2 linked regions of the Macaca mulatta genome follow. The protein of the gene in region 2 purifies or fractionates together with the protein of the main gene of each other region. This does not show direct contact. Links are inferred from orthologs where the notes say so. Each region holds a gene or a part of one and is shown on either strand. Other genes may lie near its edges.

Region 1 (10,157 bases), on a different chromosome or scaffold from region 2:
TGATCCGCCCGTCTCGGCCTCCCATAGTGCTGGGATTACAGGCTTGAGCCACCGCGCCCGGCCAAAATCTACTTTTTTAGAATAAATTCACATTTTGTACCTCTGAAATTTTCCATTCAAGGAAATCTTAAAAAATTGAGATCTGATTTATTCACAATTCTGATGGTAAGCAGAACACTTACTTAATTTAGCAAACTGCTTCCTAACTATCCTCCCCACATAAATAAAACAAAAAACTAAGGTCTTCAAAGAATATTTCAGTAACAAGAATATAAAAATATTGAATACTAAAGAAGAGCAATAGATATAATATTATAATATCACTTTTATCCAGTGTAAGACAATGTTTAAGCTTTATTTTTATGAAACATTTCAGATTCCCTCATATCACAGCACATCAATAAGCAATATGTACATAGACTGACTTTTATAGTACATGTCATGTCCCAAATTCCCAATCCTAGGTAAGATATCAAGTTACAAAATACAAGTGCTGATAATTAAACTATAGGTAGTATATTAAACAAAAGTGAGTTTTTAGCAATTATGTGAAATGAGGCTTTAATCAAAACGAGACTTAATGCCACAAGGTGCCTTTTTTCCCAAGAGTAATTAATTCAGTCAAGCCCATGATTCCAAGCTCAAGTGACAAGTTTTATATTCTTGAAGTAAACAAGAAGAGTCAATCAATGCTTAAGTGGTATATTTTAGTATATGTTATATTTCTGGACAATCTCTCATTGCATTCAATTTTTAGAACTTGTCTTTGAGTTTAATAAAACAAAATAATTAGAGAAGAAAGCCCACTCCACTTAGAGGAATGTAACATAATTGTTCTGTCTGGGTACAACACTGGGGGTCTTTTGTCAACTTACCACACTAATTGACTTACCAAAAGCATACTTCCTTCAGCTACAACTGTAATTGGAACACACAGATTTTACCTGAAGAAAATCCTGTACTTCCAGTTTCAAAAAGCAGACAATTCTATGAAGAAGCAACCATTTAAATATCTAACTATACACATTTAAGTTTTTACAACTTCATGCCTTATGAGGAATTTTGATTTCAGAAGTATCATTTCACAGACCCAGCATCATATATTTATACATATTTCATACAGTATAGTATTAGAAACTGTAAATGGCACAGAATAATCATAATTACCACAAAATTTTAACAATTTCCAGTGATCTTAAAAAGACAAATTATAACTGCCTTTGCTCAGCTAAGATATCCAGTTATGGTTATAACTTTCGAAAATCCTAAAGTTATGTGAAAAAACGTAGTCAAAAGAAAATCTGTAAATCTGATACTTTCCAATATTTTAAATATGCATAGCTAAAGCGAAAATAAAGGGGTTGATCTGGCACATGAATAATTAAGTCAATGAATTTTACAACCCTGAGCCATTTTGGCAACTATTTTAGGTTTCACATAATTTTCACAGTCTTAGTACCACCATTTTCATTTAGATAAAAGAAATGACCTTTTGAAATCATGGGCATCAAATTTGGTGCTTATGGACAAGAATCACAACTAGAAGCTAGAGACAAAATGGATCACAGCAAGCATAGTTTCTCTCAAAGTATAAGGAATGTTATAGAACATACAATAGAAGCGATAGTTTAGAAACCTTGGGAAGCTCACATTTCTGATTTTGTTTTACTAAACAATTTGAAGCATTATATTCATGTTTAAAAAAATGAAACAAGAAAAATGCAGCATGGAACATTTTAGAAGTCACAGAAGGTTCTCATCTTCCCTTTGTTTTGGGCACATTGTCTCACCTGTTTTCACTTTGGTACAAAAAGAAACAAAACCGAATCTCTGCTCAGAGTAGTCATAGTGAGAACACTGAGATTTGCATATGTTTTTCTAATTTCCCATCCATCTAGACCCTGAAATCTAAATAAATATTTCAGTTAAAACTTTTTTTCCATTTGCATGACATCTAGGCCACTATATATCCTACCCTGAATGGGGGAGGATGGGACAGCTGTATCTCAAACTGAAGCAGTGGCAGCTAAAACCTGGCAACTGCTGCCAGAGTCCCCAATGTGTCCTGCCTATTATTATTTTTTAAAATGTGACAAAGGCAAAAGCTACAGTTGGAAACTCACGCAATTTAGAAATATGTTGAAAAATTTTATTACAGTCCTTAGGATTTCCAAGTAAACGCTCCTGAATCAAGTATTACAAAGCTGCTAATTAGCAACTGAAAATTAGCCATTCAAATAATATTAGAAATAGTTGCTGAATTGTTTTTATGAAAGCTTCCTCTTGGATTCTGTAAGGATCAGAGTATCTGAATCCACACACCAGCTAGTTTCAAGAAAGAACTCTTTTGACTAAAACTTACCCTAAAACCAATTTTCCCAACGCTTTTCTTTTTCCCAAATAGTCCAACGTTTTGAGGAGAAATAAATGAGGCAGGGTGTTTTATACTGCACTGTACCCTTTAGGAAACCTTTTAGTGAACTGGGAAAATTTTCACAACATAAACTCTATGTTTATAGATATTATTACTCTGCTGTATAATATATACTGTGCGGAAAAAAAAAAGAAGAAAGAAAACACTAGCCTGGGCAACATGGTAAAACCCCATCTCTACAAAAAATACAAAAATTAGCTGGGTATGGTGGTGCCAGCCTGTGGTTCCAGCTACATGGGAGGCTGAGGTGAGAGGATTGCCTGGGCCTGGGAGGTCAAGGCTGCAGTTAGTTGTGACGTTGCCACTGTACTCCAGCCTGGGCAACAGGGTGAGACCCTGTCTCAAAAAAAAAAAAAAAAAACCAAAAAGTGTTTTATCAAAGGATGAAACTGAAATGCTATAGTGTATAGTGTGACCATAATTTCAGAAGAGAATCAGCATAATTTAAAAGGATAGCTAGCATACTATATGTTTTAATAATTCCAGTATTTTTGTTATTTGGGCTTAATTTAACTTCTTTTCCTCTTTTTGATTTTTGTATTCTAAGAGGGCACTTTTAATTTTCAAGTTGTGTTTGAAACTATAAAGAGTATGCTAATACAACTTAATATAAATATAAATAATATATAAGCGCTCTCTCTATATATATACATACATATAAACAGACCCAAGCATTAGACCACTGATGTTGTACTTTCAGGATTCACACGAATAAGTCTAGATGCATTCCTCAGATCTTGGAGTTGCTTGGCAGGTTTCCCCACACCTTCTTCAAACCTTTTCTCCACCACAGGGAGGACTGTTTCATATAAGAAGGATGCATTCTGTCTGATAAAAGCTTTCTTCTCTGGATCCTGCTCACATCGAAGACTATAATCCACATGCTGAACAGCAACCAAAATGATTTCCACCAGGCTCTCCAAAAGTACCATGTGCAGCTCTGGGAAATACAGCTTCAGAGCCTCTTCCAAGAAGCCCATGGTCTGTTTGGTGAAAGCAACCACTGTGTAACTTAGGTTCACCCAGCAGTCATGCCCTGTGTACTGCTCAAAGTTACTTACCCCACAGCTTTTCATCTCTTCTTTGAGCTTCCCCAGGGCTTCTGGCGTCATCAAGTTCATCCTTCTCCACATCTCTTCAGAGTTGCGATGTTTAGTGGCTTCAATGATGATTTCTTTGTAACTGTGCAAGGCCCCTTGGATGTCTTTCACCAGAAGGGCATGGATGATGAAGGTGAGGTCCAGTCCGATATCACCCAGTTGCTGGCAATGCTCCTTAGCCACTTTTACACACTCAGCTGCTGTTGAGAGGCTCTCCTTACTATCAAACACCTGCTTGCTGAAAGCATCCACGAACATGCCCATGGCTGATCTTGCCCAGACCACAAAGGCGGAGTAGCAGCCGCTGTCAGTGCCTGCAAAATCAATCTCAAATTCTCTTGCAGTCTCAAGAAGGCTGGTAAAGAAGACATGGCACAGCTTATGAATATAGAGTAAAGTGGCGCCTTCAATGCGAAGCTGACGAATTGCTGTATGAACAGCGGCTGCCCTGTTTCTCAAAAATAGCTCACAGGCCTTCGTGCACTGGCCCAGCCGGATCAGTTGCGAAACTGCTCTGCGAGTAGCCTTGGGACCACCTCTCAGGGAACGATCTGGGGAGAGTTCGAAAACCAGCACCTCAGTGAGCTGTCGAACTCGCTCCTCCACTTTGGCCCTTAGTTCTTTTACAGGAGGTGGGCTAGGCTTATCTTCCAGGTAATGGTTCAATTTATCCAGCAGGTCAACAGCCCCTTCAAAGTCCCTCTGCGCAATGCAGACATCCAGGTCTTCAGGTAACTCCTGGATCCATTCCATGGAGAGGTCCACGTTCTCTTCCTCTACCTCAGGAACAGCTGGCTCTTCTTCTTCGTCATCCTCAAATGGGTTAGTGGCCTTGGAAGTCACTTGGGGTGGCCCTCGAGGGGCCGCTGCCTCCTCCTGCTCCCTTCGCCTTTTCTCACTGAGGGCTCTCTTGGTCTCCTCCAGCACTTCCAGCCACTCTCGTTTTATTTTAGCATTTTCGGCCTGGAAAATACGGCTCTCGGGGAACATAAGCAGCTTGAACATGTCCTTCATGGGCGGGTTGTCCTTGACATTGACTACGGCCAAACCATCTAGGGAATAGAGAGCGTTGTAGCGATACATCCCCCGCCGCTGCGGCAGCCAGGTAGCCACCAACAAACAATCGTTCATGAGAAAGCCGTGCACCCGCTGCAGTTGGGCCATGTGGTCGGCATCGTATTCCACTAGGTCCCCGTTGTACACCAGGTACTGTCCCGGCGTCTCCAGCAAATGCCTGCAGCCTTCCACCTTCTCAAGCAGGGTGGTGAGAGTGCGCTGCTTTCCTTCCTCGCCTGGACCGGAGCCGTCGCGGGAGGCGCCACCGGGGGTGGAGAAAAAACCGGCCTGGCCTCGGAGGTGGTCTCGGCCCCCCGCCCCACCGACTCCCTCCTCCCCGCCAGACGCGGCAGCGGCTCCGGCGGCAGCTGCGGCAGGCAGCAACGTAAGCGGGATGCTCTCCAGGCTGCTCTTCTGCTCCGTCAGCAGGTGGCTGAGCTGGTACATCTCGCTCTCCAGGTAGGAGATCTCACGGGCCGTCTCTATGAACTGCCGGTAGTTCTGGTAGACGTTGCGCTTCAGGTTCTGCGCCGTCTCCTCCGCCAGCGCCTGGATGCGCTGCCGGTGCTCCTGGAGGTCCCGGTCCCCATCCGACTGCTGCGAGAGCTGCTTCACGTACAGCCGCGCCTCAAAACCCCCTGACTCCAGCTGCCGACGCAGGCGGCTCGCCCCACTGTCCGACATCGCCATCGCCATTTCCGTCCGGGTCTCACGCACTCACTGTCACTATCGGCGCCGCAGCCGCCGCGGCTGTCTACACCCACCCAAGACCCACCGAGCTCCTGGGCTGAGGAAGCAGGAATTGGAACAAGACGAGTGCGCCTGCGCCGGGTCTGAGCGTCAGACACTGCGCCTGCGCAAGGGGCCAGGCGCAGACATTGCGCCTGCGCAGGAATGCCATCAGTTAAGGCGCATGCGCCGGAGGAGCTAGTGCGGAAGTGAGTGGAGAGGCCGAGAGCAATTTGAGTACTGCGCATGAACCGAGCGTGACGTTGAGGTTTGAAATAACCGGCAAAGAGTAAAGGCTGGAACTAGCTTCCTGAAAGCTTCGTAGGGCCGGTGCCCTGTGAGCCCAGGTTCTGCGCCCACTAGGAGGTGTCGTGCTGACTGCTTGTTTTAAAGCCCTAGAATCTTGGCTTCGGCGTTTGGGGTAAGCGCCGTTCTCGTTCACGTTCTCTTTCTCAAGCGAGTTTCCGCGAACTCTCGCGGGATTGACTGGCCGTCTCGAGAGCCGGTATCTCCTAGGAGCTAGTCCTGGTCCTCCGCTAGGCGGCTTGGGGTCGCAGCCTAACTCGGAGCCAGCCTGACACCGGCGGATCCCGCCTGTGATCCTGGCAACGATGGACGATGACCTGATGTTGGCCCTGCGGCTTCAGGAGGAGTGGAACTTGCAGGAGGCGGAGCGCGATCAGGCCCAGGAGTCCCTGTCGCTAGTGGACGCGTCGTGGGAGTTGGTGGACCCCACACCGGACTTGCAGGCCCTGTTTGTTCAGTTTAACGACCAGTTCTTCTGGGGCCAGCTGGAGGCCGTCGAGGTGAAGTGGAGCGTGCGAATGACCCTGTGAGTTCCGAGCCCCGCTGGGGAAAGAGGCGGGACTGGCAGTTCTCCTGCAGCCCCCGGTCCTGGTCTTCTCTCCTTTCTCTGGTCCGACGGTCCCAGGGGGCATTAAATGAGGGGGGAGTCTGGTTTTGGACCTGGCAATTCCTGCCTTGGCGTATTTCTCTTTTTCTTACCTTTTCTCCCACTCGAAAAATAAGAAAGCTGTGTAGACCCCACCGCCACGGTTGGACTCAGGGCCCTAACGAGAAAAGAGATTTGTGTTTGAATCTCACTAAACTTGAAAATAACAAGTTCCTGATTTGCCTTATGATAGTGCTGTAGGACCCTGAAGGGAAAAGCAACCAAATCTGCCCCTAAGAAAGTGCTGAGGACGCAGAGTAACCTCCAAAGGATGTGCGTTCCCCTCCTCTCTTTCCCGTTAGGAACCCACTTTAGTGAGCTCGTGTGTTGCAGTGGGGATCTTCAGTGATGCTTTTAAAACGATTCTTTTTCTACATGCTAAATTTGAGAAATCCTTATTTGAAATAATAATCTACTCCTGCACGTGAATAGGGTGAAGTTTAAGATACAGTTGTATACCACCAGCATGCTTGTTTTTGAGTTGACAGAAAACAACCTACAAACAAATTAAGATATCATATTAAATTGTGTTTAAAGTACCAATCTCCTTTATACAGGCGTCTGTTATCATTTTGGAGATACACTATTGGAGATACCTGCTTGTTAATAACACCAAACTGTGATTTGTCGTAAGGAGACTGGGAGTAGCAGAATGGGATTGCCTTCGAGCTGTTGCAGCCTAGCTAGGGCAAGGGAAGCTGCAGTTGGGCCATGTGGTCCGCATCGTATTCCACTAGGTCCCCGTTGTACACCAGGTACTGTCCTGGCGTCTCTATCAGGTGCCTGCAGCCTTCCACCTTCTCAAGCAGGGTGGTGAGAGGGCGCTGCTTTCCTTCCTCGCCTGGCCGGGGAGCCATCGCGGGAGGCGCCCCCGGGGGCTGTAACTAATTAATTGGGTGAAATGCAAGTATCTGCTAACCAAGGGGGTATACTCTCAAGAAAGCCATCTGCCAAATGAGTTCTCTTAGTGTGCACTGCCCAAGAATGTGTAAGGACTTGGGCGTATTTGGTCAATGTAACACATTTTTATGGTGATTGTTTTCTAGGTGTGCTGGGATATGCAGCTATGAAGGGAAGGGTGGAATGTGTTCCATCCGTCTCAGCGAACCCCTTTTAAAGTTGAGACCAAGAAAGGATCTTGTAGAGGTATTTTTCATGTAAACTTGCTTCCTAGCTCAGTAATTTACAAATGCTTGTCATTGATTTAGACTGCTGTGAATTCACCTGTATGTATCTTTTAAAAAGTCTCTTTGCCCTCAGTGCAAACTTGAATTATGGGGCAAATAATAATGAACACCTTATGTTTTTTATAGTGCTTCATAGTGGGAAAAAAAAAGGCTTCTAGAGGCCGGGTGCGGTGGCTCACGCTTGTAATCCCAGCACTTTGGGAGGCCGATGCGGGTGGATCACGAGGTCGGAAGATCGAGAACATCCTGACCAACACGGTGAAACCCCGTCTCTACTAAAAAAAAAAAAAAAAAAAAAAAAAAAAAAAAGCCGAGCGTGGTGGCGGGCGCCTGTAGTCTCAGCTACTCGGGAGGCTGAGGCAGGAGAATGGTGTGAACCTGGGAGGCGGAGCTTGCAGTGAGCCGAGATTGCACCACTGCACTCCAGCCTGGGCTACAGAGCCAGACTCCATCTTAAAAAAAAAAAAAAAAAAAGGCTTCTAGGTATATTATCTGCTTTGATTGTACAACAGCCCTGTTGATGTTCATGTGTTGCTATTTTCATTTTTATGAGTAAAGAAATTAAGGTTCAGAAAGGTGAAGTAACTGGCTTAAGTTATGTATTTAGAAGCAGAGAAAACAGGATCCACATCTTCCTGTTGAGAAACACAAATTTTCATTCTCCTCAGTTGGGCTGCCACACTGCTGTGTGCTCAGGACACCTAGCCGAGCTGGCAGCAGAAACCAGTGTGCGTGCACGCTTCACATTTAGAGCTGGTACTTCTGCTAGCAGAATGGAGCAGTGGGAGCTGAGGCAGGAGGATCTCTTGAACCCAGGAGGTGGTGGTTGCAGTGAGCTGAGACTGCGCGATTGCACTCCAGCCTGGGCAATAAGAGCGAAATTCCGTCTCAAAAAAACCCAAAAAAACAAAAAATCTGTACAAAAGAGCAGGGTGGTAGTTTCTCAGCATGGGGTGGGAAACATATTAAAACATGCTTGGAGATGAGAGATGCTGTTTTTAAGGATAATAAAAGGCAGTGGATTACATGACAATGTGAATATACTCAACACCGAACTGTACACATAAAAATGGGTACGATGGGGAATTTTGTTAATTTTTTTTTACCACAATTTGTTTAAAAAATAGCTACTAAATGTAAAATGGTACAGTAGAAATACTTGATGAATGAAAAAGAACAAAGCTCAGATGATACAAAGAGAAAGGTAGGTGTAAACAAAGTATCAATAATTAAATGTCAGTGGACTAAACACTCCATTAAATACATGGAATGGCATGCTTACAGTAAAGACACACTTATATTAAAAGGATGAGGAAAAGTAATCATCCAAACACTTATCAGCAGAAAACTATTGTGGCTATAAGGTTGAGTACTCATTATCCAAAGTGTTTGGGACCAGAAGTGTTTCAGATTTCAGATTTTTTTTTTTTAATTTGGAATGTTTGCACAATACTTACTGGTTGAGCTTTCCTAATCCAAAAGTCCCAAATCTGAAATGGCTTTAGTGTGCATTTCCTTAGAACATAGCCTTTAAGCATCTTGTAAGTGCTCAAAAAGTTTTGGATTTTGGAGCATTTCAGATGTTGGATTGTCAAATTAGGGATGTTCAACCAGTATTAGTATCAGACTGAAGACTTCAAGGGAAGAAGTTTTACTAGAGGAAAAGTGGGATATTTTATAATAATAAAACAATCTATTAAACAGCAATACATAATGTCCCTAAAAGTAATAACGTAGCTTTAAATTTTATGAGGCATAAGTTAGCAGAAGCAAAAAGAATCTACAATCAGGCTGGGCGCAGTGGCTCATGCTTGTAATCCCAGCACTTTGGGAAGCTGAGACAGGTGGATCACTTGAGGCCAGGAGTTTGAGACCAGCCTGACCAACATGGTGAAACCCCATCTCTACTAAAAATACAAAAAATTAGCTGGGTGTGGTGACACACACCTGTAGTCCCAGCTACTCAGGAGGCTGACGCACAAGAGTCGCTTGAACCTGGGAGGCGGAGGTTACAGTGAGCTGAGATCACACCACGGCAGTACAGTCTAGGTGACAGAGCAAGACCCTGTCTCACTACAGCCTCAACCTCCCAGGCCCAAGCAATCCTCCTGCCTCAGCCTCCCAAAGTGGTGGGATTCAGGTGTGAGCCACGATGCCCAGCCTCATACTTGCAGAATGTTAACACAACCTTCTTAGTAACCCAATGAATGAGCAGAAAAAAGTAATACACATTTTAAAAAGTTGAACAGCATAATTAACCAAATCAGGCTTACAAGGAGCCCTAACTGGAAGAGTTGCTTAATGAATATGTATTGGGTAAATGATTACATAAACACATGAAAAAAAAATGGTTTTAAGTAGTGGGTGGGAAGAGAATGGGGAATGTATAATGGTATCAAGTGAGCGTTTCCTATTGGCAGAAAGTTACAAAATGACATTTTAGTCAATGATGGACCCCATGTATAACAGTGGTCCCATAAGATTATAAGACCATATATTTATTTATTTATTTATTTTTATTTTTGTTTTTTGAGATGGAGTTTTGGTCTTGTTGCCCAGGCTGGAGTGCAATGACATGATCTCGGCTCCCTGCAGCCTCTGCCTCCCTGGTTCAAGAGATCCTTCTACCTCAGCCTCCCAAGTAGCTGGGATTACAGGTGTGTGCCACCACACCCGGCTACTTTTTGTATTTTTAGTAG
Region 2 (10,057 bases):
AACATTTTTACATTACATTATATATACATTTTTGCTCAATAAACATCATTTAACATACACCCCCAAGTGAAAAATGACACTCAGTTTAGACAGAACCATCTAAGGAATGACTGCTTTATTTACAGGACTATCTTTTGGGACACAATTAAAGCCTTACTTTAGACAAGGCAAAATATTTCATTTCTTGTTCTTTATCAAAGTAGCCTAGCGTAGAATAACCTAAATCTCTCATAGAGCCACCTGCTAATTACCTCACTTGTAGAAGGATATATGGGTTTTGAGCTATACTCAGTGTCTGGAATAATTCAAAATCCAGTCTTTGGATTATGAGATTGTCACAGGTCACTATAAACTAAATACTTCTCTAATTCTCCAATTACCTAAGTTATCTTCTTTTCCTTTTTAAAAAGTGGGTGCTACATGTTTACCTTTCTATTTTTCAGGGGCTTTTGTACCTCAAAAGTGTTCACAAATAATGACTAATGGCCTTGTGGTAGCATCTGCCACTCCTTAAGTGGTTGTTTGTCATCAGGTTTGCAAATCATCTGATATAAATAGCTTTTTAAAGTAGTCCTCAACCATTTCTCTCCATACTCTATTTCTGCTTTCCATGATCTTTGTAAGTGGCATTTGCTATAATTAACTGATTACTGATGATATTTTAAAAAAACCAGAAAGCTGAGCACTCTTATCTATGAGGATTGAGGTCTCTACATTTTGTTGATCCTCCTCTTTTGTTTACAGAACTGAAAAAATGTTTTTATTTTTCCTGTTACCTTTCATGTTTTTGGCAAAGTAGCATGTCCCTTATTTACTTTTCTATTCTATTTACGAAGGAATCTAATTACTCATTCTATTCCATATATATTTGTTATTCAATCTGCTTTTGCTTTTGGTTGTTTTCTAACTTACATTTTAGGATTTTATATCATTCAAATGTATTAAATCAGCTGTAAGCATAAAACTGCTTTATACGGTCCTCTGTAATGGGGGAAGACCAGAAAAGAAGAAGTTGGTGGTAAAGGATGACAAAAGAAATAAATGTCATATACACTGCCTTTTTAAAATGGCAATCAAATTGCATACACAATACAAGGAATTTTACAAAGGAACACTCCATCAATAAAAAAGCATATAAGTAATCAGAAGCTGACATGCAATTAATCAGTCAAGGCGTAATTTTGCAAGTGCCTTCACAAAGCAATAAATCAACTTTACATGTATAAAACAGTATAACATTTTAATTAAAATGAAAAATTTTTAAACTGCCAATAATACCTCATTAGTTCTAAATGTTTATGCCAGTTTCTGAATTTGTATATTCACAACTAAAAATTAAATAAACGTAAATTATCTTTTACTCATACGGTAATATCTCAGAAAGAGGTCACGTATCCAGTCAATAACCAGTAAGAAAGCAAAAGAAAGGTTTCTAAATAGCCAAAAGTGATACAGTTCACACACAAATAAATAAGGTGTAGTAAATTCTATCGTGGAATACCATATTGAATTCAAAATAAATAAACTACAGCTACATACAACACCACAAATGAAATACCCCAAGTCATGCTGAGTAAAAGAAGTCAGATACACAAAAAGAAGCACTCTGTGTGATTTCATTTAAATAGAACTCAGAAACAGGCAAAACTACTCTGTGCCGTTAAAAGTCAGTACTGAGAGGAAAAGAGATAGTGACAAAGGAGAGGAATGAGGAAGGCTTCTACAGTGCTAGTAATGCTTTATTTCTTCATCTCATAGTTACAAGTGTGTTCACCTTTCTTTCGCAATTTAAACAGACTATTTTTTAGAGTAGTTTTAGGTTAACAGCAAAACTGAACAGAAACTACAGAGATTTACTACATACCCCACAAATTCCAAAGTCCACAGTGTACACTGGATTCACTCATAGTGTTTTACATTCTATGGGTTTTGATGCATGTATACACAATTATATACTTCTAGAGCAATAGTTTCACTGCCCTAAACATCCTCTGAGCTTCACTTATTTACCCCTCCACCACTCCCTCACCCCTGGCTACCATTAATTTTTTTATTGTCTCCATAGCTTTCTCTTTTCCAGAATGTCACATAGTTGCAATCATACAATATGTAGCCTTTTCAGATTGGCTCCTTTCACTTAATAATATGCATTTAAGTTTCATCCATATCAACGGCTAGATAGCTCATTTCCTTTTAGTACTTAATAATATTCCATTGTCCAGATATACCAGGGTTTATTTATACATTCACCTACTGAAGGACATTTTGGTTGCTTCCAAGTTTGGGCAATTATGAATAAAGCTGCTATAAACATCCATGTATAAGTTTTTGGGTAAACCTAAGTTTTCAACTCCTTGGAATAAATACCAAGAAGCACAATTGCTGCATCATATGGTAAGACTGTGTTTCACTTTATAAGAAGCTGCCAAACGGTCTTCCAAGGAGGCTGTAGCATTTTGCATTCCCACCAGCAATGAGTAAGAGCTTCTGTTGCTCCACATCTTTGTCAGCTTTTGATGCTGTCATTGTTCTGAATTTTGGCCACTCTAATAGGTGTGTAGTGCTATCTCATTGTTGTATTAATTTGCATTTCCCTTATGATATATATATGGAACATCATTTCATATGCTTATCTGCATCTCTATCTTCTTTGCTGAGGTATATGTTAAGATCTTTGGCCCATTTTAAAATCAATAGTTCATTTTCTTCTTGTTGAGTTTTAAGAGTTATTTGCATATTTCAGACAAGAGTCCTTTACCAGATAAGTCTTTTGCAAATATTTTCTCCCAATTTTGTGGCTTGTCTTCTCATTCTGTTGACACGGTCTTTCATAGAATAGAAGTCTAAATTTTTAATGAAGTTCAGTTTATCAATGATTTCTATCATGGATTGTTCCTTTGGGGAACAATCAAGACTAAAAAGTCATTGCCCCACCCAAGGTCATCTAGATTTTCTCCTATGTTATCTTCTAGGGGTTTTATCAATTTGCATTTTACATATAGATCTGTGAAACATTTTGAGTCAGTTTTTGTGAAGGGTATAAGGTCTGGTCTAGATTCATTTTTCTGCATGTGGATGTCCAGTTGTTCCAGCACTATTTGCTGAAAAAACTATCTTTGCTACATTTTATTACCTTTGCTCCTTTGTCAAAATTCAGTTGACTATATTTATGTGGGTCTATTTCTGGGGTCTTTAATCTGTTCCATTAATCTATTTGTCTGTTGTTTGTCCAATACCACATCTTATTTATTACTACAACTTTGTTTTGTTTTGTTTTGTTTTTGAGACGGAGTTTCACTCTGTCGCCAGGCTGGAGTGCAGTGGTACGATCTCGGCTCACTGCAACGTCTGCCTCCCAGGTTCAAGCGATTCTCCTGCGTCGGCCTCCCGAGTAGCTGGGATTACATGTGCACACCACCACACCCAGCTAATTTTTGTATTTTTAGTAGAGACAGGGTTACACCATGTTGGCCAGGATGGTCTTGATCTCTTGACCTCATGATCTGCCCACCTCGGCCTCCCAAAGTGCTGGGATTACAGGTGTTAGCCACGGCACCCAGCCTCATTACTACAGCTGTATAGAAAGTCTTGAAGATGGGTAGTATCAGTCCTCCAACTTTGTTCTTCTTCAATACTCTGTTGGTTCTTCTGGGTCTTCTGTCTCCATATAAAGTTAAAGATCACTTTGTCAACATCCACAGAAAAACTTGCTGGGATATTAACAGGGAATATATTAAATCTGTAGATCAAGTTGGGGAGAACTGACATGTACCATGTCCTTGCTCCATAGGAAGAGAATTTCAAGCCCTTAAAGACAATTTACTACTGTCACTTCAGCCACAATCCTGAAAAGCTTCGCTACATAGTTATTAGCAGACAAAAAGAAAAAAAAAAAAAGCAAGTTAGAAAAAGAATCAGAAGTGCATTTCTTCTAGGCATTGACAGTTGCAATTACTGCCAGGACTCAAAAGAAAAGTCTTCAGAGTAGCAGGCTGGAAGAGCTCCTTGGAGTCAAGTTAAAGATCCCTGACGCCAAAGAGAAACAACTGGACTATTTCTCTACCACACAAGTTAGAAAGGGGATGGTATTTCCGTTTTTTTCATCTATATTGATGCAAATTTTTCCAGTTAAGAGAAGTCTTATATTAGCTTTAAGTAGCTCTCTATTTGGGTCTGAGTTACTTTCAAAAAGCTGAGGTACTGCTTGAGGGTAGGAACTACTTAATGAACTTCTTTTATGTCACTTACAGAGTTAGCAAACAAGTTAACAAAACTGTCTATACACTATTTCATAACCTAAATATATATGACACAAGATCAGGCAGTTTGTGTGTGCATACGTAGTTTTTGGAAGGGAAGCAAATGGAGGTATAGGTATCATTAAGTGCTTGTTTCCAGAATCATTAAGCAATCAAATAGAAATATGTTTTCTAGGGTCACTGAACTGAAAAAAAAATCAGGCTAATAGGCTAAATAATCCAATCAAATGTCTACAGTCAAGACTGTACTTCAATCGTTTCTGTGAAAGAGGCAACAGACTATTCACTGTGAATGGAAATTCCCCAGTGTCCCTCAGTAATTCACTTTAATATTGATTTAACAATCCTCCCTGTTGAAGTACTTCCCCTTATCACATTTTGAGACAAATTCCTCTTGAAACAGACCAAAAGATAGAACTGAAAAATACTTGACCTTCAAATATTAAGATGAAAACAGCTCTTGCTCACATATTAGAAAACAGAAAAGCATTTACTGAGTTCTGTGTGAAAACAAAACGAACAAATAAACAACAAAAAACAAAGATGCTTCGCTATTTACAGAGCAGAACTTGATTTCCAAGGAAATCCACCAAGGAGTATGCAATGACAGTTGTGGTTTCAACTCTGGAATGATGAACCAGAGCTAACATTTCTAAACATTCTTTCCCAACAGGCAGATTTTGAGAAATACAGTTCCAAGATCCCCTAATCTAAGAGCATTGTGTTCCAGTATCTTTGGTTCTTTGGCTTATAATCGATAAGAAAATTACTCTAAGATCCCTAGAAACACAAGATGCTAAAGTAATTCATGTTTTAATCAGAGAGTACTGGGTAAGCATATTAAATGTAATGTTAACAGTTAAATATGCCTACAATTCTAAGCCTGAGAAATCCCTTCTTGACAGAGTATGAGTAACACATGGATGTAAGGACAGAAAGAACAATGAAGAGAAAGTAGAGGCATTATGTAAAATCTAACATAAAAGCTAAGAATCAATTTGTCCTTGGATAAGTAAGTGACTAAAAACTTGTGGCGTCTCCTCCTATATTATCACACTTACCATACCACATTGTTAAGTGTCTTTTATTTTTTTCCTCCTCTGAGCTTCTTGAGGGCAGGGATACATTTTTGTATTCTCAGAGTCTAAACAGAGTGCTCAGAGCATGATTTATATACAGTGAATGGTTCTGTGCTAAGTGTCTTCTTTACTCCTCATAATGATCACATGAAGTAAGTACTGTACTGTTACTCTAATTTTATAGATAAAGAAACTTGGAATCACATTAAAGAACTTGCCCAAGACCACAGAGCAATCTAACTTCAGAGTATATGAATTTAATCACTGTACTATATTATCTGAATAAATGAATGCCTGCTTTTTTAGGCTTCTAAGTTTTAATAACTAATTTTGTTAAGTCTGCTGATTCAGGTATCATTCTGCATTTGTGTCTTATGTATTGAAATGACTACTTAGCTCAAGAGGCACCAGAGGAGCATAATATTTGGGGGCCAAGCAGATAATTCTAGCATTCCAGGGTTGTTTGTGGACTTCACACTTTCAAAGTATGGTTAAATGTTAACATTAAATTAGTTATTTTTAAACACAAGAACATTCATTTTTTTGTTTTGTTTTTTTTTTTGAGATGGAGTCTTGCTTTGTTGTCCAGGCTGGAGTGCAGTGGCGTGATGTCCGCTCAACGCAAGTTCCACCTCCCGGGTTCATGCCATTCTCCTGCCTCAGCCTCCCGAGTAGCTGGGACTACAGGCACCTGCCACCACGCCCAGCTAATTTTTTGTATTTTTAGTAGAGACGGGCTTTCACCGTGTTAGCCAGGATGGTCTCAATCTCCTGCCCTTGTGATCCGCCAGCCTCGGCCTCCCAAAGTGCTGGGATTACAGGCGTGAGCCACCATGCCCAGCCAGTACATTCATTTTTTAAAATGCAAGTTATTACAACAAAATCTTGGGGGTGATTGATAATATAACAAAAGTAGTTAAAGAGAATTCTTTTTAACAGGAAACTTTTAGAAAGAGCTATAAGGTTGAATTAGCAAGCCCATTTTGCAGATAAGTGATCAGTACATGGTTTATCATTAGTTTAACAAAATATTCAATGCAAGGGGATTTATATACACTAGACTAAGCTAGTGTCTCATCTATGACTCCAAATCAATAAAATAATAAAATAGCTTATGAAATTATTTAATCTTACATTCTACCTAAAACAACCGTTAATTAATCCTCAGTATATCCTGTATATTATTAAAACAGAAATCTTCCCATCCACAAAACAGGCAGGACTTCAATGACATGTAATAATACTTGCTTTTCTTCAGATCAGAACCAGTCAAGGATGGAAAACAAATCTATCCTTATTTAATTTGTCTTACATTTAAAATTTTCAAACATAAACACTCATATAGAATTAATTTTTAAACTGTGAAATATTAATTCAGTTAGACCTATTCAGCACTACTATAAATCATCAAAACATGAACAAAGCGTAATACATTGTAGAAAATAAGTATACTTTTCTCCATGTTAATAAGATGTTTACGGTGCCAAAAAAAACCTTACATTTATCTGCTCATTGTTGACAATGATTACCTCTATTCTTAATTTTTAGGAATATAGTAGATCTTGCATATAATAAGAACAGTCTTTAATTTCTTAACGTTTGTTTACAGTGACTGAAATGAAAACTTTTGGTCAAATTTTTACATACCTTAAAAGTAGAAAGTCCATAAAGTCTTGTAGTATGAACAGTTTCTTGAGAAATATTTGTAATGTTAGTTATAAAGTCCTCAAGATATTTACAAGCTTGTTCCAGGTGTGTTGTGTTTATGATGATTTGCACCAGCTAGAAAACACAAGATATATCCAGTAAAATACAGGTTACATGTATGTAAAATCACCTAATTTTTAAAAATAGGATTATTACTTCCAGCAACTGTACCATATCTACATAACTACAGCATTATAGGATACAACTATCTGATTTTAAAAGCCTGCTGCAAATACTGCTTATGAATTTTTATATATATATATATACACACACACACATATCAAGAATCTAACTGCCAGTTATTTTAAAATAACTTTTCATAGTATGTTTCAAATCTTAAACATTTAGCAAGTAAAAAATTAGGATTTTGGCTTTTCCTGTAGTCTGGCAATCAGAAATCTAAACAGATGTTCTAACATCTTTATCTACTATTCCCCATATGAACCCTTTTCCCTCACTTTTTTTTTTCTTCCAGAGACAGGGTCTTGCTGTCACCCAGGCTGTGTACTGCAGTGGTATGAGTGTCACTTACTGCAGCCTCAACTTCCTGAGCTCAAGTCCAGAGTAGCTAGGAATACAGTTGCACAATACCACGCCTGGCTAATATTCTTCATTTTTTGTAGAGACAGGGTCTCACTATATTTCCCAGGCTGGTCTCAAACTCCTGACCTCAAGCAATCCTTCTGCCTTGGCCTCCCAAAGCTCTCAAATTAGAGGTGTGAGCCACTGTGCCTGGCATCCTCACATTTCTGGAATTTACACTGGTTATTTTCATTTTGAAAACAAATCTGCTTACATTAATACATTTAAAACAGGAAGCTAGTTTTACAAAATGATGTTCAGCAATAATTTAAAATAATTGTTTCATACAATGAAACACTTCACTATATGTGTCTTTTTAACCTACCTCTGTCAAACCTATATGAGGTTTTCTAATAAGGTTCAGTAAACAGCTACTCAAAGTTCTGGTCAGCAGCAGATTTGTTGATTTTCTAAGCATATCGTCTATTTCTGTTGAGCTAAACAGAAAGACTGATATTATTAAACTTTTTACAAACTTTAATAAAAAATAATGAATATGGTTAGTTAACATCCTAAATAATTTAACACAATTTACTAAAATAATTTTCCCCAAGTCATTAATTTATATCCTTAAATAAACTACAATGACCCATATTTATTAAATCGCAAACTTCAATTTAACTTTGCAAAAGGGACATTTTCCATAAAGTAGAATATTCATATATGGCATAATTTAAATGTATCCAATTAACAACTACAGAAAAATCATGGAGGACTTGGTATAAGGAAATAAAACTATTCCTAAATTCCAACTCCATCATGGGATAGTAACTTTGCCGTTTTATTATTTTTATTATTGTTTTTGAGCCAGGGTCTCACTTTGTCACCCAGGCTGGAGTGCAGTGGTGCAATTATAGCTCACTGTAGCCTCAAAGTCCTGGACTCAAGCGATTCTCATACTTCAACATTCTGAGTAGCTGGGCCTACAGGTGCATGCCACCACGCCCAGCTAGTTTCGAATATTTTATAGAGACAGGGTTGCGCTATGTTGCCCAGGCTGGTCTTGAACTCCTGGACTCAAGTAATTCTCCCACCTTGGACTTCCAAAGTGCTGGGATTACAGACGTGAGCCACCGCGCCCAGCCCCAAAAGACAGGCACTTTGAAAGAAACTTCCTACACAACTACAGCTAAAAATTATTTTTAAAATACAAACTGACATGAGCTCTTTCTAGATATAATTAACAAATTTAATTTTTAATATAACTAAGTTATACATTTTCATCAAGATTTTTTAAGTCGTCAAAGAAATAAATTACCTTAAACTAATTTTAATATGATGTTTCTTAACATCCTAAGTATTACTAAGCTAGCACTAAAAAACAAATTCTTTTCTCCTAACCATTAGGCCTTCAATTTAAGTAAATAATGATTCCTTGGATACAGCCTCATTATCACAACAGTTAAACTGTCCTTAGACCACGGACTATCCATCTCGGCACTATTGACATTTTACGGTGGATAATACTTTGTTGTGGAGACTGCCTTGCACATATGGATGTTTGGCAGCACCCCTGGCCTCTATCCACTAGTTCCAAGTAGCGCCTCTCCCCCGAACTGTAACAACCAAACATGTTTCTAGACATTGCCAAATTTGTGGGGAGGAGGTGGTGGCAGGAGAACCAAAATTATCCCCAGTTGAGAACTACTGCCTTAGATATAAGCTAACATTTTTGTATCCTTTTACTTTTTATTAAAATACTACTTTTAAAACTCTGTGGGCCAGGCACAGTAGATTGTGCCTGTCATCTCAGCACTTTGAGAGGCTGAGGTGGGTGAATTGCTTGAGGCCAGAAGTTCGAAACCAGCCTGACCAACATGGCAAAACCTCGTCTCCACTAAAAATACAAAAATTGGCCAGGTGTAGTGGCGTTAACCTGTGGTTCCAGCTACTTGGAAGGCTGAGGTGGGAGGATCACTTGAGCCCAGGAGGTCGAGGCTGCAATGGGCCATAATTGTGCCACTTCATTCCAGCCTGGGCAACAGAGTGAGATCCTGTCTCAAAACAAAACAAAACAAAAACAAAAACAAACAAAAAGAACTACCATTCAACCCAGCAATCCCATTATTGGGGATATATGCAAAGGAAAATAAATCATTTTACCAAAAAGACACATGTACCCATATGTTCACTATAGCACTATTCACAATAGCAAAGACATAGGTGTCTATGGCAGCACCCCTGGCCTCTACCCACTAGTTCCAAGTAGCGCCTCTCCATTGATAGCAATGTTGGATTGGATAAAGAAAATGTGGTATATAAACCCCATGGAACACTACACAGCCATAAAAAAGAACAAAATCATGTCCTTTGCAGCAACATGAATGCAGCTGGAGGCTAATAGCCTAAGCAAACTAATGCAGAAACAGAAAACCAAATACTGCATGTTTTCACTTATAAGTGGGAGCTAAACACTAGATACACATGCAT

The links. Proteins that work in one complex are often made in the same cells at the same time.
Region 1: the proteins of EXOC6 (region 2) and EXOC8 purify together in Homo sapiens (affinity purification with mass spectrometry; 4 studies listed by BioGRID and IntAct, counting the BioPlex papers as one, with this or other methods). This does not show direct contact. The link is inferred for Macaca mulatta from reciprocal best matches to the Homo sapiens genes EXOC6 and EXOC8.

The regions. Positions count from the first base shown.
Region 1 is NC_133406.1:17,691,931-17,702,087, reverse strand, and holds EXOC8 (exocyst complex component 8), read right to left. Parts: upstream 5,377-10,157; 5' UTR 5,287-5,376; coding exon 3,109-5,286; 3' UTR 2,780-3,108; downstream 1-2,779. Other genes in the region: DNA-dependent metalloprotease SPRTN, read left to right, coding at 5,931-6,151, 7,318-7,417. UniProt on the Homo sapiens protein: Component of the exocyst complex involved in the docking of exocytic vesicles with fusion sites on the plasma membrane.
Region 2 is NC_133414.1:104,903,696-104,913,752, reverse strand, and holds part of EXOC6 (exocyst complex component 6), read right to left. Parts: intron 8,065-10,057; coding exon 7,953-8,064; intron 7,121-7,952; coding exon 6,986-7,120; intron 1-6,985. UniProt on the Homo sapiens protein: Component of the exocyst complex involved in the docking of exocytic vesicles with fusion sites on the plasma membrane.